Struthio camelus: one gene and its partners. The main gene of each other region encodes a partner of the protein of the gene in region 2 in a complex. Links are inferred from orthologs where the notes say so. Each region holds a gene or a part of one and is shown on either strand. Other genes may lie near its edges. The genes, in order: SERPIND1, F2, SERPINE2 and FGG.

Region 1 (7,367 bases), on a different chromosome or scaffold from region 2:
TACTCAGTCAGCAGTGAACAAAATCGTTTCAAAATAAAATCAGCTTTCTCTGGCAAAAATAAAAGAATAGCAACCTACTGAAAGTGATTCACTTTGTTACTTAGTTCAGCTTGATTTGTTTTAGTTTTGCATGCCTGGAGATCACACTTTATTTATCTAGGTTATGTTGCAACTTGAGATACTAGAATCTTACCAGATTTGTCTTTTTGAATTGCTTTATCCTCAAAATAGCAGAACATGACTTGGAAGCGATCTTGGTCTGTTGAACGCAACACCCTAGAAGGGCAACAGTTTTGCATTTTTGAGGGAAGGCTGTTTTGTTTTGTTTTTTATTTTATTTTCTTTTAAACATCTTCAACACAAATCTAGAGTACTTTTAACAGCACAGTACATACCAACACAAACAGTAATGATTGTTTGCACAGTAATTTTAATTCTCCAGGAAGTCTGATACTGCCATTTCTTTCTACATTGAACTAACACGGCTCAGATGATAAAGAGCTGGTTTGCCACCGAGAAAATAACTTCCACACCACAGGAGGGGTAAACCTGATGATGCACTTACATAATCACCACCAACACATAAGCATGGTACAATTCCTGGCATTTCCATAGGCCGCTGCATGTGCTGTATTTGTACGAGATATATTAATTATTAAAAGACTGTTTCTAAAGGACAGCCAAGAAGTTTCAGGAAATATCCTTGTTGTTTAGTTACTGTCAAAGTAAATATGAGATGGGGAAGTTTCTTCCTGTTTTCTTCACTGCCAGACCCTTACCTCAGCTTTCACCTACAGACTTTTTTTTTGAATAGCAGTAATCAATAAACTTGTAAATTAAATGCATTCAGTAAATTAAATTGGTAAATCACACTAGTGAAGGGAATAAAAGCACACTACAGAAATAATTCTCTCAGCTCCTCGACTACAATGCTCTCAACAGCACAGAGGACCACCTGTGCTATTCTTCAGAGGTAAAAGCATAAGACCTCATCTCTGTGCAGATGCGTTATGCTTGCAAGACTGTCCTTTCTAGGGCCCTTTTGTCCATCTTCAATTAGTTCCTATACAGAGTAGCTCACATTTTTGGGGCCCAGCTATAGCATTCCATCCTTTTATTCATCCTAAAGGAATTTTGGCACAGATGAACTCCTAGTGTCAGTCTTCATGAAGCTACTTTGACACAAAATACTGGTTTTCATTTATCTTAGTTTCTGGCAATTCTGACTCAAACATTTAAAAATTAAAAATCAAAACCAACAAAACCCTAAAAGCAAACACCCAACATGATTTAAAAAAATCCAGCACAGAAAAAAAAAAAAAAGGTACACGCATACCTCATATACTCTAGACGGTAGACAGAAAGGAGATAGGTAGACATGGCAAAGTCCAATTTATTGATCAACGCTGACACTTCTGGAGGAGGATCCAAGAGATTTATTATGGTACTCCGTAACTCATTTAATTCAGCCTAAAGATGAATACATTCAGTTATCTAAAGTGGGAGGACTATAATAGTTTGTGTTCTGAAAGCATTTGCTATCCAGCTTCTGAAACTTCATAGGACTGTTGTGCTGTGCTTTGATATCACAGGACTAAACATCTAGATACATGCAGATTTCTATGTTATTTGGGAGCCAAACAGAGGCATCTCATAAGCTGCAACTCTTCAATCCACTTACACTCCTATCACAAATACTCTTCAGGTAAAATCTATCCTGTAGACACTAGGGAGACAGAAGTATACCAGTATTAAGTCAGAAGAAAAAAGATAAAAGCTCAATCAACCTTTTTTTGAGCAAGAGGAGAGAATGAACGGGTTGTTTCCTTCCAAAGCTAATTTTTTTTATAGTATAAGTTTTATCAGCCTGATACAGAATGGATGAAACAGACTATTAGAAGGCTTCCCTCTCCACATGGAGTTGGTTTCTATACTTAACTAAAATAGTGTAGCTACCACATCAAACACATGTATTATCACACTCAAAGAACACAAACCCAAGCCATTCACGTATACTGTTGCCATAAAAGTAGTGCAAAAACAGCTGTTTTTCACTAATAAGAGGAAGGTAAAAACAGTATTGTGCTATTCCAATGAAGTATTCCTTGGATACTATATTATTTTAATACCTGGAGGACATTATAGAAGAATACAATAAAAGATATTGATTCTTACAGAAGTCACAGTATCATTTTTCATGGCAGAATTGTACTGAAGAACAGATCGAAGAGGTTCTTTGCTGGGAAATGTGAGTAATGGAGACTTGGTGGCAATTTCACATACACCTTCATACCATTCTTCTGGCCACAGACCTGGAGCACAAGCACAAAGAGGGAGGTGGGAGAGGGGAAAAAAAAAAGGGGGGGGGGGGCGCGACAATATATTAGGCTGATACAGCTCAATGAACCATATTCAGCTATTACTATCATCATTAAATCAAATTCTTACCAATCCTCTAATGAATCTAACAGACTCACAAAGTTAACCAGCATTATCAAGCTTTGCACTACTTCTTAGGGCCAACTTCCCATGGGCTTATGCACAAGCGTTCAGTATAACGGATTGTGTCCCAAACCTAACAAATATGCTTAGGTAACTCCAAGGGAAACTTCCCCATGGATAAGTTTCTACCTTCTGTTTGGTACCTAAGTTTCTACCTAATGTTTTCTACCTATGTGTCTGATCTTCCCTCTCAGAAGCTTAGCTATCAAAACTCATATTTATAAGTCATGGCTAACCAGCTGTATTAGCTGAAAAAATTAAAAAAAAAAAAAAACCTAAGTACAAGAACAAATCATACTGTGCTGAATCCCGTAGCAAAATAGGACCAGGATGTAATGAAATTCTACCAGAAAACTGTCACATTAGCTGCTCACTTTACATTTTGTTTATGTCTGTAATCCTTCTTCAGCCTACTGTGAATGATTTTCATACAATTACATTTATGTTCATCAAGAGTTTAAAACTGGGTATCAATGCTTTTCTACTAGAATTTACACTACCTGATCCTTCCACAGCAAATCCCATCAGCACTGAATACAACCAGAAGTCACGGAACAGCTTTTGCAGCCTGGGCTTAGCCTCCTTGATGGGTGGCAAGCGCCTAGTGAGCTAACAAAGAAATAAAAATTAAAATCTAAAGATGCGGGGGGTTATGGTAACTTAACTACATGTTAAGGAATCGCTTCATGTACCTTAATTTAGTATGGTTTCCAAAGGCAATATTGTCACGTAATTTCTAATATTAGGCTAATATTATTCTAAACTAACTTTACATTGCTATCATTACACCGAAGAAAATTTGATTTTGTTAGAATACCTTAAATGATAGTATTTGAAATACATGAAGCAAAAATTCACTTGGTTTTACACAGGAATATACCATATTGATGCAGTAACCTCTACAGAGGACATACTATCAGTATATAAGAACTGGAGACAGGAAGAGATCACAGCACTCTTTAAACAGTGAGTTGAAGGCAATACCACGCAACTTTATTTCAGTGCAAATGAAGTCAGTAACAAAAAGAAATATTAGTCTAAGGTATTTTTGGTTGCTATTGTTTATTGGCTTTGCAGAAATATTTTGAGGCACCATTTGGGGATCTTTTATTGTTTGCACCCACGCACAGAATGACATCAGTCCTGGAGAACTTACTAAACAAGCAAGTAAAAGAACATTATTTTTAATACATTTATTAAAGTTGACACTTTTTGCACAAACAGCCACTAGCACTGGAGCACTTTATACTTCCAGTCAATATGATATGCAATTTTATATAAATTTGTAAAACAAATCTGATACTGTTGTGACCCTAAAAAAACGTTAGAAGCACATCCGTGTTTAAAGAGTGAAAGAAAGCAACCGAGAGCTTTATCCAGCTTGACTGGATATGATTAATGGAAGTTTCATTAAGAAAATGCAAGATTGCAATCTAAGCGTCTTTTTCAGTAAAATTAACCTGAGTTTAAGCTGGTGAAAAGCACTGTACTAACAAGTTGGTTGTGCAAAGCAGATGTCTACAACAACACAAAACTGACTAAAGTAACCCGAACATCCCAATCACAGTGACCTCAATCGAGGATTCTGTGTTTTAGGGACATAAAAATAGTAAGATGCCCCCCAGTTTGAGCGAGTGCAAAGTAGCAACGACATGATTTTTACTACTCATGAACAGTCAAGTTTATGTGCATGCTTGACTTTGAAACCTTACATACACACCAATTTTTGCTCAAAGATTTTCCTCAAAAGTGAACAAGTACCTACAAAGCTGTAAGAGTTGCTCAACAAATAACATACAATTCGGCAGAGATCACTATGCAAAGAGAGGGATTTTGGCTGACAAAGCAAGTTAGTGTTTGGTTTAGAGCATGTTTACTTTGGAGATACACAAAAAACTCGCGTCAAAGTTCAGCTTTAAACCCTTCTATTCCCCTTACAGGAGCTATTCAACACATCCTTTCTGTGCAGTGGCTTAAAGGTAAGCTTCTTTTACATCTTCTGTTATTTCAGTTAGATTTCACACAAAGATGCATTTATTGTGGTGTGGGGGAATGTTTTGCCTATATAAATGCAGCGAAACAACAATTAAACTTTGGTAAAGATGAGAATGTCAAGTTGGAAACTACAGAGAGCAAATTCTTGTATGACAAAAGCAGAAAACATTTATTCATCAATAGTTACAGCACAGAGTACCTTAGCCCTAGAGGCTTTATTTCTGAGGGTAGGGAAAGACAAGCAATGAATTTATAAAGATGCAAGAAAAATACTGATTGAGGTCGTTCAGTCACAATGCAAAACTCTTTAAAAGGCAGCTGCTCATTATTTTTACATTATTACCAAAAAATATATTATTTTGATATATCACCTTAAATGGTTTTAGAAGTGCAGGCTTAAAGAGAGGAATTTAATAGATTAAAATGGTTGCTTAATTACTTCAGTCCTGCTACAGCACGTTTGTAAATATTCATCTTCCTAGGTTGGCTTTATTCACATTTACACAGACAAATGTATCCACACATTTCACTTCTACAAAACAGCTCTTTGCACTCTGTGCTAGTTTTAAAAACCCTTTCATCAATGCTTTTAGTAAGATTTTTGTATTAACAGTATACAATGTTTTTTCCCCTAGATTATACTGTAAATGTTTGCTTTTTCACTCAAAATAAATACTGACAGTGAAAACTGAGTTTATGAAGTCATCAAGTCATCAAACAAGGAATTTGTTCAGAAATCAAGAGCCTGGCATTCAGATAATCATTTTACAGTTTCAATTGATACAGAATTATTAAATTCTTATATTTTGGACTTTCCTTGATTATCATATGAAGGAATTATACCTTTTGTATCTTTTTAAGGCCACTAATTATTGCAGACCATGATTATGGAGAAAATTCTCTCAGACTTGCTTCTGGCTACAGTGTTCTACAGCTGAGGAAGGCTGATTCATTCTCCTCACATAATACGCATCTAAGGCGTAGTCCTTGGCTTCAAAAATCACAGAGAAATGCTACAGCACAATACTCAATAGACAAACAGACTTTTTTTTTTTTTTGAAAAAGGAGGTTCTACTTAAATACATTCTCAAACAAAGTAACTGAGGTTAGAAATCTAGCATCAGAATAACATTAACACTAGAGAATCAAAGTTCTAAATCTGAACTTAAAGAGACTTCACATCATGAAGAAGACAAAGAGAGTACTTCATACTGTGCAGTCCTACAGAAAGTAAATATAATCAAACAATGAACAGAATCAAGAGAACTCTTTATGAAAGAGGCAGATTAGTACACCACAGTTGTTAGAAGTGTGCATGGTCCAGGAGCAACACACCTGAGTAAGACCATGAGTCGGCAAAGACATGCTTACACCTAATGCAGTGCAGGCAGTCCCACTAAGGGCATTTATTACAAATGCATGCCTGTCTCCGGGTTTGTTGCTACATCTTTAGGTCTCCTTTATTCCATCCAACTTCAGCCCTGCCCTCCAAAGAATACTCTCATAAAACTCCAATATTTTCCTGTAGCTACGCAATATACGTTTTTCAAATTCTTCTGCACATCCCAGACTTCTCATATGCTCCTTTAATGAATGCCTGGTCCCTCTTCCTCCCAAGCTCAAACATTTGAGGCTATCTTCACATCTGCTTGTTAGCATATATTAGAAATACAGCTAGTACAAATTTATTTGTTACTGGTTTATAAATCAGGAGTTCTAGGTATTTTAGGTAACCAGTCTGTTTCCGCTCGAATGTCAATAACTACTTCTCCTATGGCAAGAGGTCAACAAATCATTTGTCAGACTTGAGACACTGGGTAAATAAAAATGTTTTAGCAGTAAAACTAATTAAGCTCTGTACCAGTAAAAGTACTGTCAAATAAGATAACTACAGACCTTATACTCTGACAGAATTCAGAGTGAACCTGAAATTCTCACTTAGGGAATAGGTAACCGTGAAATGCAATTACCATACACCTTCTCAACTGTGTTATACTGTTTTCCAGCTTTTAACCTCTCAGAATGAAGCTCCCACTTCATTTGTTTGCCCTTTCTCTCATTATAACCTCCACATTTGGTGGAATCAAGGACTTTAGTGAGCATTTTGAAAGCCTTAAAGATGCACATTCACATGAAAATGGGACCTATGATATGCCAAACTTTCCACCGGAGTTCCACAGAGAAAACACTATCACTAATGACTTGATTCCTGAAGAGGAGGGGGAAGAGGACTATCTAGACCTTGACAAGATACTGGGTGAAGACGACTACAGTGACATTATTGATGCTGGTCCATACATGATTTCCGAAATTCAGCAAGGAAATATTCTTGAACTTTTTCAAGGCAAAACCAGGATCCAGCGCCTTAACATCCTCAATGCAAACTTTGGCTTCAACCTTTACCGAAGCGTGGCAGATAAAGCCAACTCTTCAGACAATATTCTGATGGCTCCTGTAGGTATTTCCACTGCAATGGCTATGATTTCCCTGGGACTGAAGGGTCACACTCACCAGGAAGTGTTATCTGTTCTTGGCTTTGAAGACTTCATTAACGCAAGCACCAAGTATGAGCTCATGACTGTTCACAATCTCTTCCGCAAACTCACTCATCGGCTTTTCAGGCGCAATTTTGGTTATACGCTGAGGTCTGTCAGTGATCTTTATATTCAAAAGGACTTTTCTATTCTGAATGACTTCAAAAACAATATGAAAACATACTACTATGCTGATGCCCAACCAGCTGATTTTTCAGATCCTAACTTCATAACTAAAACCAATGAGCGTATCTTGAAGCTGACCAAAGGATTAATAAAAGAAGCTCTTGTGAATGTAAACCCTACAACACTGATGATGATCCTTAACTGTCTTTA
Region 2 (7,254 bases):
CACGTCCAGGTGGGTTGTGAATATCTCCAGGGAAGGAGACTCCACAGCCTCTCTGGGCAACCTGTTCCAAATCCTCAGGGACAGAGCCTCCGGGTGAGAGTGTAGGGTATTCATCTTTTTGTAAATGTACCTAAAGCGTTGCAATTGCTGATCAAACTATGTAACTCACCTCAGGAGCATATTCAGAAACATCCCAGCTTTTGAACGAGCAATCTATATTGGTCGCAGAGCAGACAAAGGCCCAAGAAAATAGGCTAAAGTCAAATCCTCTATATGCTGCTCCCAGGAAGTTGGAAAAAAAGTTACATAAGAAATAAACAGTTGCAAAAAATTTCCTCACTTAAAAAAAACCTCAGTCTATATGGAGCAAAGAATCAAAACTCCCAATTGGGTTGAAAACCATGCCTTTGGGAGCAAAAAAGGTACAAATCTTTATTACTCTATGACAGGAAAACAACATCCTTCACTCATGGCATAAGCGCAGAAAGAAAAAAAAAGATAAAAAGTTGCTTACAGGAAAGGTGAACAGAGACACAAGAGTAAAATGTTTGAGGTGTGGAAGTCAAAGCTCCTGGAGAAGTGATAGCTGATGCACGCTATCCTGCTGCAGAGGCTAATCACAAGAATGTGTGGGGGAAAAAAAACCAATTACTGATTTAAGCTAAAGTTTGTCTTTATTAAGACAAACTTTATTATAGAGAAGACAGAGAAACGAAGGAATGGAAAAAAAGCGTGACTGAGTATATTGAAAGCTCCTATGAAGGAAAAAATTGCATCATTGGGAACAAAGATAACTATTAATAACAATCTTGTGTTAATCTTATCTTCAATAGGTAAAAAAAAAACCTGAGAGTATCCCATTCCAAACTTACAGATACTGAACTATGTAAATTATGGGCTTGCATATGTATGTGGATTTATGAGTACACTTTACACATTTACAAAAGGTGCTATACAATGTGAGGAGAGCTGAATTGCTGGCAAGCTCACATAAACCCTCCTGTGAGAGGCCTAACTATAGGCCCAAGTACAAGGCCTTTGATATCTCTGCTACCTTCTTCACCATGTCACCAGTAACACTAACAAGGGATCGGTAAAACAGTCAACAAATCACAGAAAAGCTATTCACCACCAAGGTTATGATCAATCAAATGTAATCCAAACATGAACCAATTGTACATATATATTTAAAAAAAGGAAAAAAAAAAGTTCTCAGAATATGGACCCTTTCTCCCCTTTGGCAAGGTGGATCAAGCCCTGTCTTTCTGATCAGAGCAAGTCTATGGACTGTTCTTCCGAGTACAGGGTGGTTGAACAGTGGCTCCTCTCCTTATACCAATTGTGTTTTGGCCCACTTTGTGGCTGCGCGCAATGCACCTCCTGCTGATTACAACACCCTGCTGGGAGATGGCCCCCCCCCCCCCCCAACCTGCTCCAGGAGCCCCTGTGAGACCAGCACAGAGGTGGCTGAAATCAGGACAACTGAGCTGGGAGACGGGCATCTGCGGGGCCAACTACTCACAGGAGGGTTGCGGTTCTGCTGGGTAGGCAGCGTATTAACCACATTGACCCCATTGCAGCAGGTCAACACGCTCCAAGGGGAAAAAAAAAAAAAAAAGATCAGAGCCTGAAGTCTACCCAAAAGCACCGGCCAGATGGAAAGGCCTCACAAAAGTGTTAAAATTAAGAAAAAAAAAAAAACCAAACAAACACGTTAATGCTGGATCTGAAGTACTGCGCCAGAAGTTACAGCAGCCAAATGAATTAATGCGTCAGACTACAGGCTCCATACGCAAAGTAAGTATTACCTGTAGAACGGATGCCCAGGAACACCTCCGTCTTCCTCTACGCGCCCGACCGGCTGTCACAACGCACGCTGAAAAACGTCAACGCGCGCAAGGGGACTTGGCAACACCGGCAAGCCCTTCTTCATTGGACGGCATGGGAACGACATCCACGCACCAATTAACAACTGAAAAGCAGCCTGACCTCGTAGCAATACAAGCCTTACATCAGAATCAACACATCATCCAGCCAGCCCACAAGGCAAGTAGCTGGCGCCGCTGCTGCCCAACGGTGCGACATCAGCGGCAGTTTTAGCTCCAATACTACTGCTATTCTACACCCCTTCTCGTGCCCAACGTTAGTTCCACTTGCTGCTACCCTTGTATTATTAATTGCAGCAATTGTGTCATAGATAAGAAGCTTTCCAGCAACCAGAAAGCTTACCGATGTAACCTGCAAACTACAAAATCTTCAGGAAAGGGCAACTGTGCGAGTGCATCACGGGGTGGAGCGTAGCGGGACCAGCCGGAAGACCATTGTGCACCAAGGAGTTAGAGATCCACGGAGCAGCTGACCTGAGGAGGCGCAGGCCTGTGCTGTGCTGCGCTGCACATATCACTTGGCCGCAGGATAAGCTTGGCTGGCTAATTAGAACAGAGGACTCTGCAAGCAGCTCCCGCTTGGTGCCTGGCGATGATGCCATCGACACGTTCTTGCCTCTGTCTAAAAGTGAAGCAGCATGTTTTCATGTGAACGTCCTTTTGCTCGACAGTAGAAATGACGAACAGAGCTGTTTACGTCTAAGAACATCCTACAAGAGCTTGGAAAACCCACAATGCCGGTGAACCTCACCGTGGATGGGATCTGTGCAGTGTGTCACACACTGACTAAAGATCCATCCGATGCTACACAACTTGGGTTTCCCACTATCTAGAGAGACATAAGATCATCTACGCTATCCCCTTCCTACTTCTTGTGTCAGCTACAATAAACGTTGTTCTAATCAATACTTTACGGGGTCTGAGTGCCTTTCTTAATGGGATCTATAACGAACACTTGCACCGGTGCATTACACCTCCATAAAATATGGCAGCATCTGTCTCTCTCATCACTGCTATAGGGGGTGGTGGTGGTGTCAGTCTTCCTGTGATGATATTTCTGTGCCCTGCATTCACATCCATATGGACTTGCTCAGGCATGACCAGCAGTCCTGAGGTCATGTGTCCAACCTGCAGCATGAGCCAAAAATCAAATCATCACATAGAAAACACATAGGTGTGTCCTTGCTGCTATCCTCTGCTCCCCAGGCAGCTGAGCCTGCCAGCGGGGCCTCCAGAAGTGTGGAGCCGTTTGCACCTCCCCTCACAGAGAGAAGCAGTCGTGACTGCTACGTGAGACATGAGACAGCAGCAGCCCTGATTTCATCACTGTTCAGAAAACTGTTTGTTCAGCGATGCTTCCTTCCTGCCCCAGCCTCATAGCGGCCCCTGCCTGTGTAACCCTCCTTCCATAGCGCTGCTTCCCTCATGCAAAGTAAAACAGGGTGTTTCTAGGCTTGTGGCTAATCCTGCGCACACCTGCTCCTCCACCTAGGTCATCTCAGCCATTCCTAAAAACATCTCTCCAAAGTCCGGGTGAGGAAGTATGAAAACAGGGAACGGTCTTAAACACGGGAGAGAGTCTGTGCAACTGCTCTTTGTACCAGTGGCCAGAGAGTCATTCCTCAGCTACCCTAATGCTAATATTTGCACATCTACTATGGAGATAAACATTACGGATATGTCTGCTGCACGGAGGCACAGCACAAAACATGCTCCCTGCTGGCAGAAAGCACTTTTGTGCCATGTGGCAGTTCCTGGGACTACCCTCACCTTGCCCTGCTTTCCGCTGTTTTCTCACAGTGAGAGAACAGTGCCATTTTTTGCTTGTTGTAGGAATCACTAGAGCTTTCTCAGGTCAAGTAGCCCAGTTCGTGGCTTATTCATTAGCTGATGTCATGACACTCAAGATAGTCCTGCCTCCCTATTCCTGGAAGCCCTTGTTTTCCTGGCTGTTTCGGGCTTGCATGTTCCTTGCTTGGCAGAGCTTCTGTTTCCTTTTGGATTTATTTTAGTATGTTCCACTGGTGTGGGAATAAAAGGGGGGACCCAAACTTCACTGCCTCACCCTCCTCCTGGGAATCTTAATGCAGTGGGAAGTATGCAATGAAAATGGCCTTGCTGACCTAACTGGGAAGAACATTTAAATTCCACAAGGACTGTAGCAGGCACTCCTGCTCCTTGGCATGGGTGAGGGAGAACAAGGGGGAGACAAGCTGGCTCTTTCACGCTGCTCTAGTGCCAAAATAGCTGCGGCTGAGCTTGCTGATAACTGCAGGGAGAAAAGACAACAGGACTCCGAAGGGTGGGCTTGTAGCTAAAAAGAGGACTGGGATTGGCTAAGCTCTCCAAGTCTTGCTGCGCCTGAGGCTACTAAAGAGCCCAGACTGTGAGGAGACTCAGCTGCAGGGAACCAAGCCAGGGTGGTGGGGAGGCTGCAATCCTGCCAAGAGCCAGAGGATGAGCAGAGTGAGCTGCTCTGGTAAGGGTGGCTGTGAGCTGGTAGAGACCTCTCCAACCCAAATTCTCCCGATACCCTGGGACAAGCTCATCATCTTGCTCCTCATGTCCTCTTCCCTGCTATGAAACGGGATACTAACTCTACTCCTGTTGCAGGGGGTGGGGGGAGGGGGAGACCAGCACACATCCAGAGATGTTTTGTGTTATGGTGTGGTTTCTGCCAATGAAGTATGAAAAGGAAGATACCCTGAAGGGAAGGAAAAAAGCCAAAAGAGGAGGGATAAGAGGAGCCTCAGCCCCACTGTCCCTGACACACCACGACCTCTGGAGTCCTGTTTCTTCATTCTGGTTCAATATTAACCCAGCAGGGCTGTGACTCCGCTTATTCTGTTCCCCTTGCGTTTCCCCTGCAGCCAGGGCTGTACAGCATGGCGCACAGCAAAACCAGCATACTGAGGGGCCTGCTCTTTTCCAGCCTTCTGCACCTCACATTGAGCCATGACGGAGGTAAGAGCCAAGGGCCCAGGGAGGAGGGCAGTACCAATGGGTGATGGAAGGAAGCAAAAATGTGGTTATTTCTTCTCAAGGGTAAAGCCCGTGGGAGATTCTCTAGGTAAGGCAGGGGGAGTTTCTAAAAGCTTTAAGTTGGGAATTAAAGGGTGCAGACAGTGGTGTGAGCACAGGGCTTTCCTGAGGAGGATGCAGCAGCTTCCAGCTGCGGGCAGGAAAGCCTAGTGACAATAGCTCAGTTGATTGTGTGGGCCACAGGGGAGATGGCAGGGAAGGGGAACGTAGCTAGGTCCAGGATCTTGCATGGCTCAACTATGGGCCTGTTTGGGCTAGTTAAGTCAGTTGACTTGGGTCGCTGCAATTCTCCATTTCCTCCTCTGTCCACCCTTATCTCCACTTCTGGTCATCTGCAATACACAGCTGTCCTACACTCACTGCTCCTTATCTTTTATTACAGTCTCTTCTCCCTCTATCTTTTCTTAATCTAAGCCCACTACTGTGTGTGGGAAGACCTGTTTACAGGGCTGAGATTAGGGTCTCTGAACATGAAGACAGAACCAAATTGCACCTTATCGCAGCAGTTTGAGGTCAGCAAGACAGAACATAGCAGTTGGCACAGACCAATAGCAAGCTCAGGCAAACAACCTTCTCCCTAATGGCAAACGAGCAGAGCTGCCCTGCCAAGGATAATGGAAGATTCCCCTCACTTCTGAGGGGAATCTACGTGATGACAACCCTCACAGCTTATAGAGACTGCACTGATCATCAGGTGTGGACATGGGGGGTTGCTGCATGGTGGAATGGGGGTGGGGCTGGGCTATGGGACCAACACACTAGCTGAGTGCGATTTTTGGAAACAATAAGGGGAGACAAAGAGGCCCTCTCACTGCAAGCATCCCATTGACTGGCCCTGTTCTGACTTGGTAGTTTTCCTGGACAAGAGGCAGGCACTGTCACTGTTCAAGCGCCCACGACGTGCCAACAAGGGATTTCTAGAAGAGATGCTTAAAGGCAACCTGGAGCGAGAGTGCCTGGAGGAGATATGTAGTTACGAGGAGGCCTTTGAAGCCCTGGAATCCACTGCTCGCACGGTAGGTACAGGGCACATGGGTGCTCCTAAGAAACATTCCCTCAACCAGCTCCTGTAGCGAGAGACCAGCATGCCACACACACAGCCAGGGACTGGGGGGTTGTAAGACACAGTGCTGAGAGATGAGGCTGATGTGTGCATGTGCCCCTGGGACAGCTTAAACTTCCTTAGGGAAGCTTGGATTCTTTTCCCTCCCTCTTTAGTTTAAGGACAAAGTGAAAATGAAACAGCCTTCCCTCAGCCATCAGTCAAGAACTGCACCTTCCACTTCAGCATAGTGCCACACATCTTCAACTGCCACAGCCCCCAGTGGCCCTCCAGGACACTCACAAAACAGCTGGCTTAGCAACCAAATACTGAGTGCAGGTGCCTCAAGACCCTTTGAGCTTAAGCTTTGGCACTGTCCCTTTTTCTGGCTTCTGGACTCGCTCACTGCAAAATTTCTGTTGGCATCCTTTTAGGAAACGCTCCTAGCCCCAAGATCAGTATTAGTGTTGAATTCCGCGTTCCAGAAAATACAGTGGTAAACAGACGAACGTTTGAGAGTTCAAGCCAGTAAGGTACAAGCTCTACAGAGCATTTCTAATGGAATTGCTCTCAGGCATGAGAGGTCTGACAGACATAGATCTAAAGAGCTGAGCAATACCTGCATACTATCTGTGGCCTCCGTTTCTTCACTACTCTAGAGCGTCCTCTGCCTTTTACCAGCCTTTAGAAGTTCTAGATCCAATTCCTTGGACTTCTGTAGAGTAGTACAGGCTTTGTTTCCTCTGCACATTGATAAGAGAACCACTGCAAGCATCTCTGGTCTCTTGCAGAAATGCCAGGCCTCTCTATCAGTCTGCTTAGTCTCCAATCCATAAAAAGTGATCAAAGTCTCTTCTTAGATGATCTCTGGCTGAATTAACAGCCTAATATGGATAGCAAATATTCCTGCACAGTAACTGATCTTTGGTTGCATTGAGTTTGCATCTCTGCATTTTTTAGGCGCGGTAATTTTCCTTGGCACATCCTGCCTGTTCTAGGTCAATACAGAGGCTACAAAGACCAAGCGCAGGCTCAGGACACATTAACAACCAAAACGTCTTTCATAGAATGGTACAGACTCCTGCAGACATTAGGTTAATCCATCACAGGGACACTGCTATATTGCAGTACTGCCTTTTATCAGTAAAAGGCATAAGGCAAAGCACATTATATGGTGGTGAGATAAAAACATGTACTTTGGGAGATCCAAGGCTGTGAATGGAAAGCAGCTAAGCAGAAGCCGTTATTGCAGCATTCCTCAACAGAGTTGTACCATGTCCACTT
Region 3 (6,889 bases), on a different chromosome or scaffold from region 2:
CGAGGGTGGGTGGGCAGCCCTTGTTACCGTAGCTTTATGTTGATGCATTATAGATAGCTGCTCATTTTCCTCGGAGACTGGAAGGCTGGCGTGGAGGCTTCTGGTGCCAGCTGGGGCTGAGAAGAAGCTCTCTTCCCATCGCTTTTGCTTGTAGCATCTCGGCTGTGAGCAGATCTGACCTGGTATCTGGAACAGAGAGGCTCCGTGGTTTTCCTGCCTGGCTGCTGAAAAGCAAAACCTGCCTGGCATCACCGGCGGGGCGGGTGGGGAGCTGCGGCTGTAACCGGAGCCCCGGGACTCCAGGGGAGAGAAGCCCGGACTTCTCCGACTCCAAAAACTGAGCTAATTACAGGAAAGGGCAAGGTACGGGTGGGAAGGGTGCCGGCCGTCGAGCTGCGGCGTGCCCTGCCTTGCTGGCGGGGGCAAGGCTTTCCGGGAACGAGCCGAGCGTTGCCCTCGGATTCGGTTCCCGCTTCCGAAGTGACAACTTCTGAAAACCAGCCGGGATAGGCTAAGCGGATGCAGATTAAGCAGATTTCCTGTGCTGCTCCTCTGGGACCGCCGGCATATCGTGTGTCTCCGAAACCACGGTAACGTGGAATTATTACAGCCCTGAGGAGCGCTTGCCGCGGCTAGTGGCTGCTGTCAAAGAGGAACAAAAAGAGATGGTTCCTGCCCCCAAAACAGTGAACTTTCATAATCTTAGTTTTTGGTTTTTGTTTTGTTTTTTTTTTTAACGTGATTAATAGAGCTGTTCCTATGTTTATTGCTACAAGGTCAAACCATTTGTTTTCACGGGGTATGCTAATACAGTCAGTTTTCTTTTCTTTCTCAGCTAGACTCTTTTTAAACAATTTCTTAGAGGTTTGTTTGGGAAAGTATTGCAAACACACTTCTATGTGATATATTTATGCATATTCTGACTGATTGGAATTCAGCTCTGCACTATACTAATAACTGAGAGGTTGTAACGTTTACAGATTTTGCTTTGAGATTTAAATTTGAGAGACAAGCCTAGGAAATAGACCTTACTACTACCCACTAGACCCAAATAGGATCCCAACAAAGAGAAACAGAGAAAACAAATTTTATATCTGGGCATTAACATTCTCCCAGATGTTGTGGACCATCTGCCAGGATTTTTTTTTAGCTCTAAAGTAAGCTGCATTTATAACACCTATAAAGCCACTGATTTTTCTCGCCTTTGTCTCCACCCCCCCTCGCTTTGCAAAGATTGGGATATATGCAATAGCCTCTGAGTGAAAATTTTCTGTTGGTGTCAGTGGACGTAGAGCAGCACGTTTAGGACCACAGGGGACTTGGCTCTGTAAGCAGCGTTGATGTATGCTTTGCAAGGACTTGGAAGTTGTATCCTTTGTAGCAATGACAGGGATAGCATCAACTCACGCTTCTCATCACCTGTCCCATGGAAAGGTGGAGTATCAGTGGGAAGGAGAAAGGTCTGCAGCTGGAGAGGAAGGTGCATCCCCCAGCCCCTCCCCGGCATCCCCGCCTTCGGGTCACTCCTGCGCACCAGTGCTCCTGGCAAGGAGTTTTGTAGCTGAGAAGGTTTTTATCTTCTGAACTGTTAATGCCTGGGATGCTGCTAGCTCATTCTGGCAATGAGGTTGCTAACTTTTATTATTTTGAAGATATCTGTATACATATGACACGTATTTATGTATAGTGTACATGCACTACCTACAGATACTGGAGTTAGCAATTCCCATCTTATTGCTATATGATCGTTACATCAACAGTGTATTTAGATTCCCTAGAACTCAATATTTTATTGAAAATGAAATTAAATTATTTACTGAAATATTGAAACATCTTATCTAGTTTTGTTTTAACTCTGAATACCAGTGATTCCCTCCAAAGATGAGATTTATTAGACTTGAATGCTCATTTTTTTGTATTACTCCCACTGGATTGAAGGCAGATTGAAAACTGGAGAACTGGACGTTCAGATGGTCCAGGAAATGAAGGGCAGAACTAGCACTGGGTTAATTTTTTCCCCTCCGAGTTATGCTGACAGCAACCATAACACTAAGGCTGCAGAGTTTATTTACTATATAAAGGCCATACTTTCCCTTCTCATCCCAGCTTTTTTTGGCTTGTGTTGCTTGGCAGCATCTCCTTAACCACTAACACCCAGAGGCGTGGTATTAAACTGGGATGAAAAATGAGCATGCAGAAGAATATTGGAGATTTAAGTGGGCATGGTTCTGAGAAAACCGGTGGAAAATATGTTTACTCCAAGCCTCTGTAGCACCTAATTGAAGCAGTGATATTTTCTTTGAGGACATAGAAAATGCCTTTCTGCTTTCTCTTTGGCTTTGAATTTTACTTGGAATCAATATGACATAATCCACAGAATTATTTTCTTACAGTTGCAATGGAAACTTTCTGCCGATAGATGAGGGTGTGTTAATCAGGGTGAAAAAGATGACATTCATTCAGGCTTTGTTGGTTTCGAGAGTCATTGTTAGGAACTGTTGCGTGTTCCTAGTTTATTGAAATCTAGTGCTCAGTAAACACTATTATTTTTGAACTATTAATGTTGCTATAAATTTGAAAGGCTAGAAAAAGGTGGCAGATTGTGATTAAAAGGGAGCTGAAATATGTCTATGTGTGGAAATCATTTTCTATACTAAATGTGACAAAGAATGAAACGTGTATTTATGAGCTCATAAAGGATGATTTAGTGGTACTAGGCCTACAGGTTGGGCATCACCAAATGAATTTCTGTGAATCTAATTTAGAAGAACATAAAAGATCCCCCATCACCTCTAGAGCATCTGCAAACGTCGCCAGTCGGTAGTTCGTTCCTACTCCTTTTCCATAATTTGGAAGCTAAGCTCTCTGCCGGCGTTACCCGCCGGGACTGCAGCGCCGGCCGCCCAGGTGAGGGGCTCCCCTGCCCCAGCTCTTTCTGGTCTGCCGAGGAAGCGCGCAGAAGGAAAAGGGCTCGCGAAACCTCCCGCTTCGAGACGCGGCCCTTCCTGCAGAGCTGGGGCCCTTCGGGCGAGCGCCGGGCGGCCGAGCTCTGCCAGCCGGGAGCTGCCGCCAGCCCTGCTCTCGCGCCCCTTCCAGCCCAGCGCCGCAATGCCCCCCAGGGCCGCGCGCCCAAACCCCTGCAAGGGCCAAGTCTCGCCGCAGCTTACGAAAGGCAACGGGGCAGCGGCGGCGAGGCAGATTTGCCGGGGGCACGGCGGGGGGCTCTGCCCTGTCCTCGCCCCTTGCGGCGGTCTCCGGCCCCCGCGCGCGACCCTCCTGCCTGAGCACCCGGCAGCGGAAAAGCGATGGGAAGAAACGCAGCCAATGGGAAAGGGCTCGCTGGCAGCTCCTGCAGGAAGAAATGAGGTTAGTGGCTGCCAAAAATGTAGCTCGAGAGAGCCGGAGAGATAACAGGGAAAGCATGGGAGAGTTTTCTCCGGTTCCAGGGCTCCGCTGCTGAGCTATTCGTCTTTATGAAAAGAAGAGGCTGCCAGCGCCCGACTAGCCGGGCGGGTTTCCCACGGTCCCGGCCCGCAGCGCCGGCACCGACGGCCGCCTTCCCGCCCGGGGCAGCCCTCGCCGGGGCCGGCAGCCCGCCCGCGACCGGCTGCAGCTCCTGGGGCAGGGAAGCTCTCCGACGGGGACGTTGGCGCGCCAAGGGAGCGGGCCCGGCGCGGGAGCGAGCGAGCTTGCGCGGGGAGGCTTTCAAAGCCTCGGGAACGGTTCCTTGGGCGCGCTTAGTTAGCGTGAGGCAGATACCATAATTTTAATTAACGTGAAGCTAAGCCCCAGTCAGCAGTTTTAGCCAATTATGGTCTCTTGTTGGTCTCGTGGTTCTCCAGGGCTGTTCCAAAATAAATAAATAAAGCGCGTTGTGTGTGTTTCCGATGGGAACGCATCTGCAGGGAACGGCCTTTTATTTCCTGCTTCCCTGTCCACCCCCCCCCCCCCCACACACACACACTTTTTAAGGGAATAGTGGCCTGCAGTGGTGGCCTATTCCAAAATGTGCTGATTTAAGCTTCCAAGTGTTTTTAACTGTATTCATCTGTATTTGTACAGTGCAGCTCTCTTGACAGGCACACGTTACAAAGTGCTGAAAATACATCAACGAGCAACGCAGCCGCGTGGTCCAGGGAAGCGCGACGATCTCACCGGGGCAGGACGCTCCTCCAGCCCTTCTCGTCGCTGCAGCAGCGCGGCCGTTGGGGCGCATCCCATCGCTCAGGCGTTTCCCCTCGTCGTCGTCTTATTCCCCTCCGGGGTACCTGAAGAAGCAACAAAGCGCCAAGTTGTAGCCCAAAGAAGGGGGGTGGGGGGGCGCGTTTTGATGCCGACGTGCAGGGTGTACGGCTAGAGGACCGGCGCTTTGAGCAGCTGCTGCCGTCGGCGAGGCTGGGCGGCCGGCGCCGCGGCCTCGCTGCCGCCCGGGCTCCCGGCGGGCTGGGACGCGCCACCCTCGGCGCAGAAAACGCCCTTCCTCTGCTCGCGTGGCAGCCTGGCCCTCCCCTTCCTCGCCTTTACGCGCTTAGGCAGTAGCTGTCTCAGAAACGAACCACTTCCACTTTTTTTTTTTCCCCTCCCCCAAAATAGAAATTTGCATTTTTTCACAGACCTTGGAGACCGCGAAGTGCACGAGAACTGTGGGGAGCGAGACAGGCTGGGAAACGCGCTGCTCGGCGAGCCTCGGGCCGGCGGGGGCTCTAGCAGCCGCCGTGATACGCGGTCGCCTCTGCCGCAACGGTGTGATCATGCCGTCAGGGCGACTGGGGGGAAAAAAAAAAAAAAAGCTCGATTTTATCATTTAATGAACGGTATTGTTTCACAGTTGTATTTTTGGAGATTAGCAGTGAGCAGAAGCAGCCACTGAAGCAAGGGCTGGAGCGCTGGGGACTTCCTGCTGCAAGCCCGTCGTTTCTGAAAGCCCGGCGGAAAGCAGCGGGCCTGGGCTCCGGCCGCACAAGCGGCGCCAGCAACTGGGTTTGATTAGAAGCAGTTGCATGAACGTACCTGCGGGGAAAACGGTCAAAGTGGAAAGAGCCCCAAGCTGCTGGAACCAATACTGCAGGCACTGCTATGCCAAGCAGTGCCTGGCTTCCAAAAGCCATTGCAGAACAGGAGCAGTTTAATACCCATCTTGTTATGGGGACCGGTTTCCAAACTTTGCTCAGTGAACGGTTGAATGAAAAGCTAAAGTCCTTTCCTGGACAAAGCTTTGCCACCCTTTTTTTGGACAACGGGAGCTATTCGTGTTGCACGTTTTCTTGGGTATGGCGCGCTGTGCCCACAAGGAGGTGGCTTCAGACCACGCTTACAGCTTTTAAAGCTGGGAGCACTTCTGGGATGTGCTCAGTCTGCTGTAGCCGCAGGTTGTCACTGAAAGGGGCAGTCTTGCTCTCCTCTCGCTCCTCGTCCCCTCCCGTGCCAAAGCGTTTCCTGGGGGGTTAGCTTTCTGCCGGATTGGAGAGGGGCCTCACTTGCCAAATGGTCACCTGGCTGCCAGGTCCAAGGCACGGGAGCGCTTGGGAAGTGACAGCCAGGGACAGGGACGAGAGCGGACCTCCCCGTGGGACCTGATGCTGCACGCTGTTGTCTGAATGTCTCTCATCTCCCAGCGCCCAGAGCAAGGCTTTATTCTAGGACTGGCTCCTTGGGCACAGACGTGACTCCTTAAGGCACAGGACAGGCAGGATTCGGCCTTTGCAGGGTCTCTGCTGTTTTTGTGCACAGAGGAGCAAATCAGGCGGAAGGTAACACTCAGCTGTTCTCACTGGTATATAAAACAAAGCAAGAGGAAGCTCTTGATTAAAGGAAGGGTATTCAGATGTAATCTTTAGCTCTCCGTGCACTCAGGGATGAGCTGCGCTTCCTCCCCAGCCCTGAGAGGCACTTCAACCCCCGCCCCGTGCTCAGGGCATAAATAGCCCAAATTCTGCCACTCTTGCATGTCTCAGCCCTCCTCCTTTCAGAAGGATTAATCAGAGTGCAAACTGATGGAGGGAGGAGGGCAGAGCTCTTCCCAGGCTTGCATTTAAGCCTGTAGTTAAGAGACCTGTGCCTTTAATCTCTATAATCACAGGGTCTGCTGCTGGGAAGTATCAGTGCGGTGACAGCTCTTCCAGGGGCAGCTGCACTTTCACAGCTCTGCAGATATCCAAATGCTGACAGGTATTTCTAAAAATGGTTCTGAAAATGTATTTTTACCATTGCATATACCTTAAACCTTCACTGGGGCCTCTGTGCAGCACTGCAAAGCATGTCTGAAGTGCGATGCACTAAAATGCAAAATATTTATGTAAAGAAGTAAAACACTATAATTCCTCCTCTTTTCCTGTAAGTGTAAATTAATGGCAGTGAAGAGCCATGGTGGTGAAATAAGTGGGGTGAGATTGTGGGAGAGCTATTTTTAGGCAAAAATATGCAATGCTTCAATTGTCACCAATTTATTTGCTTTTTTTAATGTGCACAGGGCTTCAGCAGGCTTTGAAGCGCTGGCTTGCTATCCGCAAGCTCCCTGAACTGCAGAGCCTCGGCTAGGGCTCTCCAGTTGTGTCCGCAAGCAGATCCGAAACCAACGCGAGAACAGTGCCCCAGCAGTCAAATGCCATCTCCTGCATTTGTGGCTGTGTCCTGGAATGAGGGCTCCCCCTCTTCCCACTGTGCAAGTGGTACACTAGCAAAGAAACTTGGGAACCCCATGCTCTGCTAGTTTCCCACGGGATATTCATGTGTATTAATAACCTTACCAGCTTCTGCGGCAAGCATTTGCAGAGAAACATGAATCATGTGCTGTAATGGAAGGTGGTCAAACTTTGATTTTTTTTTTTTCTTCTCCAAATCCATGATTGTTTTTGGAAAGGGAAAGAGGGTTGTTTTCTATCTGAAGGTT
Region 4 (6,827 bases), on a different chromosome or scaffold from region 2:
ACTTTTTGACTAAAATTTAAATACTGAAAGAGAAAGAGAAAGATGACATACAAAACTGTATTTTTTTTTCATTTTCACTTTTCTATTTTTTATTTGTAAAGCGGTAGTTTTCCTAGCACACTGGCAGCATGGCTTCAACACTACACAGCTGTTTAACCATCTCTGTTTCTCATCCAAATTATCAACTCACTCATAGACTGGCCTGGCAAAAGAGTCTGTGCACACCAATCTATATAGCTTATTAGTAGTACAAGCCAGAGTAACTTATGTTGATGATGGATTGTGAAGTAAAACAGACATTTTTTTCAGTATTTACTTCTGGGTTTTTTTTCAATATTTGTTTTTGGTATTTATTTTTTTATAAGAAAATTCACTTCTAGAGCACCTGAAAAAACAGGCAAATCCAACTCAAGCCCACTCAACAGTTTCAGTTAAAACAATAACAAAATCCCACTGGAAATGTTAAAGTATCATTCTAGCATTTCTGAAATTGTATATATTGATCATGTTAGATTCGTAAGCACACATAAGTATGAGTCATACATTTGGAAACAGTTGTTTTTCCAAGACAGCCGTAAGAATGCTTTGATATTCAGGAACTAATTTACAAATAGAAACACGTTTCTTTTCCTGCTTTGTATTTCTGAGGAAAGATTTACTATGAATAATAGCAAGGTATTGGATAGTTTCCCAGTGGCTCTTTGACGATAATAATAAACTCACTGAATTATAGCTGCATTTATATGGAGGTACGGAGACAGAGAAGATGAGGGTGTATCTGATGAATAAAACGCTACTCACCCATTGAGCTTCATTAACAAGGCTGTTCTAAACAAATAATGATTCACCTTTACTATCTACTGAAATAATAAATGGCAAGAAAAATGGTAAACTGAATTTGAGAACTCTTCCTTCAGTCTGTGCTACATTAATCATTCCTAATTCGTTAGCAAATCAGCAAATAAACCTGCTGGAAAGATAAATTTGGTCATAAAATCAACACAGTCGAACTATGTTGGACATATAGCAGAGTACAACTAGATCTCTAGAGCATTTGGGTCAGCTGTTTTGCAGCCAGGACCAACCAAGGGAAAATAGTATGTAGGGCAGGAAAACGACTGCATAGCCGTTCCACTAAGCATAAGTATTGTTTTCAACCTAATGAGAAAGTAGGAATAAATTATTTCTAAGTCATGCCAAGTGAAACCATAGAAGGAAAGAGAAGGAAGCAAGGATGTGGAAGGATTAATCACGCAAGGCTAAGTCATGACCGTGTAATCAGCAAAGCAAACAAACATTTTGTGAGGTTTAAATAGCTGCATCTCCTGCCAAGAAGTACAAGAGGTTGCCACCAGAAATACAACTAGACAGCACTTATACAGTATACACATATTTGCTAATCATTAAAGAAATGTTTCAGATTGATTCCTTTGTGAATATAGATCTATAAAGTGATCCTAGAAAGTTGCATAATACAAGCAACTTGCTGAAAATTCACTTTTCCAACTCCTAACCCATTTGTAGGCATAATGATCTGCTTGTTTTCCAAAACCAACTAGCAAATTATTTGGAACAATGAAACTCTCACATTGTTTTTTGTTACCTAAGATATTAAGGACTTTAGTAAAAATTATCACATTATACATTGAAATTATTTCATTACAACTGTCATCATATTTTAATTTTAAGATGTTAGACATTTTATCTCAAGATTAACTAATGGTTATCACTGGCAGTACTGACTTTTACAATCTTTTGTGAATCCTGAAATTCCTGCTTAGCAATGCAAGACCAAAATTTCCGTGTTCTGTTACCAAGTATAGTTCTGAAAGAGTATCACGCCTATATGTACCATTATTAGTGAAAAAAGAAAAGGGCATGTTCTGAACTCTGCTAAGGGATGAAGGATACCCGGATCGTGTTACGTGGTTCACCTGTCATGTTGTGAACGTTACGTGCCCGTCCATGCTCTTGAATGCACGTTTGTGGTTGAAGTTTGCCCAGTTATTTTGGGAAGTTCATGCCAGTGACCTACTCACGCTATATAATCTTTTCTCACGGAAGCCTGGTGGTGCACAGCCACTGAAACTGTGTATCCAGGACCCTCTGGCCCCAAGAGCAGCCTCACTCCAGCAGAAGACCTGCAGCCTGTGAAGCAGCAAAGCAAGCTCAAGCAATGTGTGAGCAGCAGTGGCAAGGAGATTCTCTCCAAGTCCAGTGGGTCCTGATAGTCGTTTCCTGAGCCCAAGTTAAGAGCTCCAATGAAGCAATGATAGAAACACAACAAGAGCAGGTTGACTTTTTACCCATTTCTATTTATTTCGTTTTCACTATGTGGGAAAAAGGACCAACCAATGCAAGATTTGCAAGAACAAACTTCTAGGGTCATCCCTTCAAAAGGATTTTTGGCAGGCAGGCAACTGAATCACCGTCATTGGTATGGTCGCTACAAAGCTGATTCTCCCATCCACAGTGCTTCAGCTTCCACTTAAATGTCCCATAAGTTTGATTTTTAGCATCATAAATGCTCACATATGGTTCTGGCAATGTGTTTTTGGATCCCTGAACATGATGGGAACTTCCCAGTTGGCCAGGTGAAAAGATGATGTACAGGGCAGGAACTCTTGTGTTTCACGACATAATCATATCTAATTTCGTAATAGTATAACATCTAGCTTTTATGATGTGCTTTTTTCTTACGGTTTTTAAATAGCTAGCAAAGAAAGCTGAAGATCAATACTGCACCTCTACAGTACAGAGGTGAAGACATTTGCCTGAAATCATGAGGCCAGCCAGTAACAGATCTAGTGGTGACGCTCAGCACTCCTGAGTCTCAGTCCCACCTTTCTTCTCATCTTTTGGTCAATCATACACTGAAGTCAGAAGTCACAGTCCACACTGCCCCATCGCTCCTGATATGGTACAGGCACAAATGCAGGCTTTCTCTGAAGAAGCTGTAGCCTAAACAGAAGATTTAGGTGCAGAACCTGAGTAGAAAGATATTAACACTGGTATTTTACAGAGAGTAAGCAGAAGCACGTACAGAAAATAATTCTCCTGGGATACAGTCTGTTGCAGAGCAGGGATCCTGTCACCAGTCTTCTTAGGTGTATTGAATGAGGCAGAGTACAAATGTAAACTCAGAGTCAGCCTCTGCCCCCAGGGAGATAATAGTTTTATCTAGAAGTAGTACATTTCCGCAAACACTAGTTCCAGACGCATGGCAACTGACAAAGAAACCTTTCTGATCCTGCGATACTGAAAACATTAATTCCCCACAAGGAAATTTTGATCAAAGTTGTTCAAACGGACTCCTTGGATTGAGGGATGGAAAAGGTCCACACTTTCATTGCCTGTGAGAAATACCATGGGCTTCTTTTTCCAGATACGCCACTGCCCAGTGTGGGTTCATACCTTTCTCTGCCTCAGTTTGCTCTTTCTCTGCCTCAGTTTTGTCATTTGCAAAATAGGGAGAATGGCGGTCCCCTTCGCAAAGCACGCTGAGATCTGCTGAGGGAAAGTACTACATAGCAGCAAATTTTTCTTTTTATTTATTTGGCTGTTGATAGTTTGTTGATAGGTTAGTATTGATAGTATATTGATAGTTTAGATAGGTAGTATTTACTAGGCTATTGATGGTTCCTACACATAATTCAGAGGGTTAGTATGTCCTTATGCTCATTAAATGAAACTTCCGTCAGGCCCCGTTCCAAAACCCTGTGTGAGTTTTCTTGCTCTCATGTTAGTGGAAGTGGTGTCTCCGTGCCCTTTTCCACCTTTTGGCCTGTCTTAAGACCGCCTGGCTGGAACAGAGATAAGGTGGGTGAGTGGGAAGCGGGTCCTGAACATTGGAGGAGGAGGAGATGTGTGCAAATTCCAGGAATCTACCTCAAACCCCCGCCTCTTCCCGCTACTTCCCGGTGCCCGCCCCCCGCTCCAGCCTGCTCCATTAAACCGCTGCTCTGGTGTGCCGAGGACCATAAAGGCACTGTCCAGGGCGCAGGGTTGAACATTTTCGGCTGCTGCCTGCACTTGCCCAGAGCAGCCGGCAGCGCGTGGTAGGGTGGATGCAATGGTGCTCAAGCTGGGCAGCTGGGTGCCTCTGGGGCCTCTCTTCTCCCTGCTCTTTTCTACTAGCATGGCGGTAAGTGGAGCTAGAGAGTTTTAGAAAACATGTCAGTGCTGAAAATGCTGTCAGAGAAAATTCACTGAAAATGATCTTCTTTCTTCTCTTCAGTACATCGCTACTAGAGAAAACTGCTGCATATTAGATGAGCGATTTGTAAGTATCTGAATACTTTTCTTCTGTGTTAAGAGGCTAACTAAAGCTTTGTTGCACTGGTTATGAACTAGCGGCACACATTTGTACCTTTATTTGAGCCTCATTGTTATTTTCTACACTTATTAAATGCTCTGTGCTTAAACCAGTTATTAATAGCGGTACACATTTGTTAAAAATGTACAGGAGGTTGCACTGTTGATAAAAGCACTTATCCAGAAGGCACTAAAAGTAATAGCATGCACTATTTTCTTGTTATGTGTGTGTATGTATATGTGCGTGACACTAAATTGTCCCTATAAATTCAAATACTGCAGACAAAATGGCAAATGCCTACCTTTTTTTTGTCCACAATTATTTGTATAAAAAGTGACAGCAAGTTTTCCTGCCCAAATATTCTGCTGCTATTTTTTGCTCCTGAAACATTATCAATTATTATTCTTTCCTCTTTAGGGTAGCTATTGCCCAACTACCTGTGGCATTGCAGATTTCTTTAATAAATACCATCTCACTATGGATAATGAACTGCAGGAAATTGAGGGAATTTTGCAGCAAATCACTAACTCCACAGCATCAACAGAGCAATTGATCCAACACATCCGAACCATCAGTCCTCCTGAGAAGCAGACACTACCAAGTGAGAATACACAAATAATGACTCCATTGAAAAAATATCATTTATGCAGTTTGCTTGTTTTTTCATTTGCTCAATTAGTTACATTAATTTTACATCTTTGCCTGTTTTACAGATTCAATTGATGGATTTACTCAAAAGTCCAGGAAAATAATTGAAGAAATTATCAGATATGAAAACACTATTTTGTCTCATGAAAATACTATACAGTAGGTATCTTCCACCTTTGGTATCCCAGTCCAGACCATTTTCTTTCTCTTCTTTTATCAACTGCATTAAGGCTTTCTCAGAAAGGTTTTCTGTGCTTATCTGGACCGTTACGCTCACATTTTTAATAGCTGTCTAGTAAGTCATAATGAGGATCTCATGTAGCATTCTTTGCTCATCTACCTAACCCATTAATTGGGCAAGAGGTGCGAGATGAGAATGTTGTGAAGGCTGGCAAATTTTTTATTTATGTTTCATTTGCTATGTGAACTATTCCTACTAATTTTGCCAAGCAGTTTGGCGATTTATTAAAATGAGTTCGTGCTGTATTGAAGAGTGTATTGAATATCCATATAATCACTGACTCTGGCTAATTTTACTGCATATATCCATGAAAATCGGCTCTTAGTTCCGCTGATATAAATCATAAGCAACTATAAACTCAGTGACCTTCTTTTGTAAATAGACGTTGTAAGATAGGATTGAAAAGATCATTAACTTTTCCAAATGTTAATGGTATGTTTTTTTGACCTGACTGTAGCAAAATCTCCCTTCCGTATAATATTATATCAATGATGACTTAGGCCCTCTAGCTATTGCATCAGTTTAGTTGTACAACCTATGTTTTACAAATGTATCCATAATTAAAAAGAATAATTTATCATATACTTCAGGAGAAGAAAGAAAAACTCTCTATACAGTTGTATTCATGTATTAATTACTGGTTTGAGCTTTGCTGATTGGAGAGATAAAGTCAAGTCAAGTTTGGTGTAAGGTCAAGTGCACGCTTTCCTGTTTTGGCCAGTTGGGTACGGAGTATTGAATACAGGACAGGAGCAAGTCACAGCGAAGATAAAGGAAATGAGGGACCATGCTTCTCATGGTAATCTAACAACAGAAAAGGTTGCAGCCTTTGGAATGCAATTTTGGTTAAAAACATTATGCCTACGTGAAAATTGAATTCTGTTTGCTTATTGCCATAGTTCTGCTGACTGTTTACAAGGGGCAAGCGGGTAACAAGCTCTAATCTCACTACTTGGGAGGGCGTAAGGAGAAAAGAGCCTACCGATACTCAAACAGCCTGCCGAGACGCGAACTGGAACAGTGGTCCTTGCAAGCTCAGTAGTGCTTGATACTCACTCACAGCCAGTCAAAGCCACGAGAAAAAAGGGGCCAGTGAATGGCAGAGCATAGGTTGAACCTTCTGCACCAAACAGTAGCTGGCAGCAGAAAATTCATTTTCTCCCAGAGCACTAGCTGAGAGGAGCTCTGAGGGCTGTAACGCCTACTCTACTGCTTGTAGGAGAATTTGATGGTACTTCTCTGCCTGGGGGTAAATGCAAAGGCTGCTTCCTTTCTTCAGGGCTTCCTCAACTTTAAATATCAGTGCTAAGAAAGACAGCCCTTTTGGAATGGCATACTAGATAAGTAAGGCATGTGTGTGTTGGAAAATGTTTATTACTGTCAGTAAGAAACAGCCGACAACAAGCTGACGACAAGCCATTTTTATGTCTCTGCAGACAGTTGACAGATACGCATATAATTAACAACAATAAGATCACACTGCTAAAACAGAAGATTGCTCAGCTTGAATCACGCTGTCAGGAGCCATGCAAAGATACTGCTGAAATACAGGAGACAACTGGAAGAGGTGCACAAAATACTTCTCGTATGGTGGAGGGATAATTCAATTACAAGTATTGCCAG

Evidence for each region.
Region 1: the proteins of F2 (region 2) and SERPIND1 are in contact, whole or in part, in a crystal structure (PDB 1JMO), measured with the Homo sapiens proteins. The link is inferred for Struthio camelus from reciprocal best matches to the Homo sapiens genes F2 and SERPIND1. Residues at the interface, in NP_000497.1 of Homo sapiens: Lys384, Ser385, Pro386, Gln387, Leu389, Leu390, Cys391, His406, Cys407, Tyr410, Pro412, Trp413, Asp414, Lys415, Leu423, Arg425, Ser430, Thr432, Arg433, Tyr434, Lys440, Ile441, Ser442, Met443, Asn458, Leu459, Lys470, Trp511, Ala513, Asn514; in NP_000176.2 of Homo sapiens: Glu75, Asp76, Asp77, Asp78, Tyr79, Leu80, Leu82, Ile85, Phe86, Asp89, Asp91, Val305, Glu306, Met307, Thr308, His309, Gln327, Asp343, His361, Lys362, Arg388, Thr457, Val458, Gly459, Phe460, Met461, Pro462, Leu463, Ser464, Thr465.
Region 3: the proteins of F2 (region 2) and SERPINE2 are in contact, whole or in part, in a crystal structure (PDB 4DY7), measured with the Homo sapiens proteins. The link is inferred for Struthio camelus from reciprocal best matches to the Homo sapiens genes F2 and SERPINE2. Residues at the interface, in NP_000497.1 of Homo sapiens: His406, Tyr410, Pro412, Trp413, Trp455, Arg456, Glu457, Asn458, Leu459, Glu509, Thr510, Ile542, Asp562, Ala563, Cys564, Glu565, Trp590, Gly591, Glu592, Gly593, Cys594; in NP_006207.1 of Homo sapiens: Val225, Arg288, Ser355, Ala356, Thr358, Thr359, Ala360, Leu362, Ile363, Ala364, Arg365, Ser366, Ser367.
Region 4: the proteins of F2 (region 2) and FGG are in contact, whole or in part, in a crystal structure (PDB 2HWL), measured with the Homo sapiens proteins. The link is inferred for Struthio camelus from reciprocal best matches to the Homo sapiens genes F2 and FGG. Residues at the interface, in NP_000497.1 of Homo sapiens: His450, Pro451, Arg452, Arg461, Arg486, Ala489, Ala490, Leu493, Ile530, Val531, Glu532, Arg533, Cys536, Asp546, Asn547, Met548, Phe549, Cys550, His605, Phe607, Arg608, Leu609, Lys610, Lys611, Trp612, Lys615; in NP_068656.2 of Homo sapiens: Pro439, Ala440, Glu441, Thr442, Glu443, Tyr444, Asp445, Ser446, Leu447, Tyr448.

Annotation. Positions count from the first base shown.
Region 1 is NC_090958.1:9,956,030-9,963,396, reverse strand, and holds the start of SERPIND1 (heparin cofactor 2), read left to right. Parts: upstream 1-4,350; 5' UTR 4,351-4,481; intron 4,482-6,503; 5' UTR 6,504-6,519; coding exon 6,520-7,367. UniProt on the Homo sapiens protein: Thrombin inhibitor activated by the glycosaminoglycans, heparin or dermatan sulfate. In the presence of the latter, HC-II becomes the predominant thrombin inhibitor in place of antithrombin III (AT-III).
Region 2 is NC_090946.1:39,725,462-39,732,715, reverse strand, and holds the start of F2 (prothrombin), read left to right. Parts: upstream 1-4,240; 5' UTR 4,241-4,365; intron 4,366-4,756; 5' UTR 4,757-4,771; coding exon 4,772-4,850; intron 4,851-5,780; coding exon 5,781-5,944; intron 5,945-7,254. UniProt on the Homo sapiens protein: Thrombin, which cleaves bonds after Arg and Lys, converts fibrinogen to fibrin and activates factors V, VII, VIII, XIII, and, in complex with thrombomodulin, protein C. Functions in blood homeostasis, inflammation and wound healing.
Region 3 is NC_090950.1:12,846,561-12,853,449, reverse strand, and holds the start of SERPINE2 (glia-derived nexin), read left to right. Parts: upstream 1-3,868; 5' UTR 3,869-3,878; intron 3,879-6,889. UniProt on the Homo sapiens protein: Serine protease inhibitor with activity toward thrombin, trypsin, and urokinase. Promotes neurite extension by inhibiting thrombin. Binds heparin.
Region 4 is NC_090945.1:39,324,248-39,331,074, reverse strand, and holds the start of FGG (fibrinogen gamma chain), read left to right. Parts: upstream 1-3,805; 5' UTR 3,806-4,072; coding exon 4,073-4,144; intron 4,145-4,237; coding exon 4,238-4,282; intron 4,283-4,732; coding exon 4,733-4,916; intron 4,917-5,028; coding exon 5,029-5,122; intron 5,123-6,640; coding exon 6,641-6,771; intron 6,772-6,827. UniProt on the Homo sapiens protein: Together with fibrinogen alpha (FGA) and fibrinogen beta (FGB), polymerizes to form an insoluble fibrin matrix. Has a major function in hemostasis as one of the primary components of blood clots.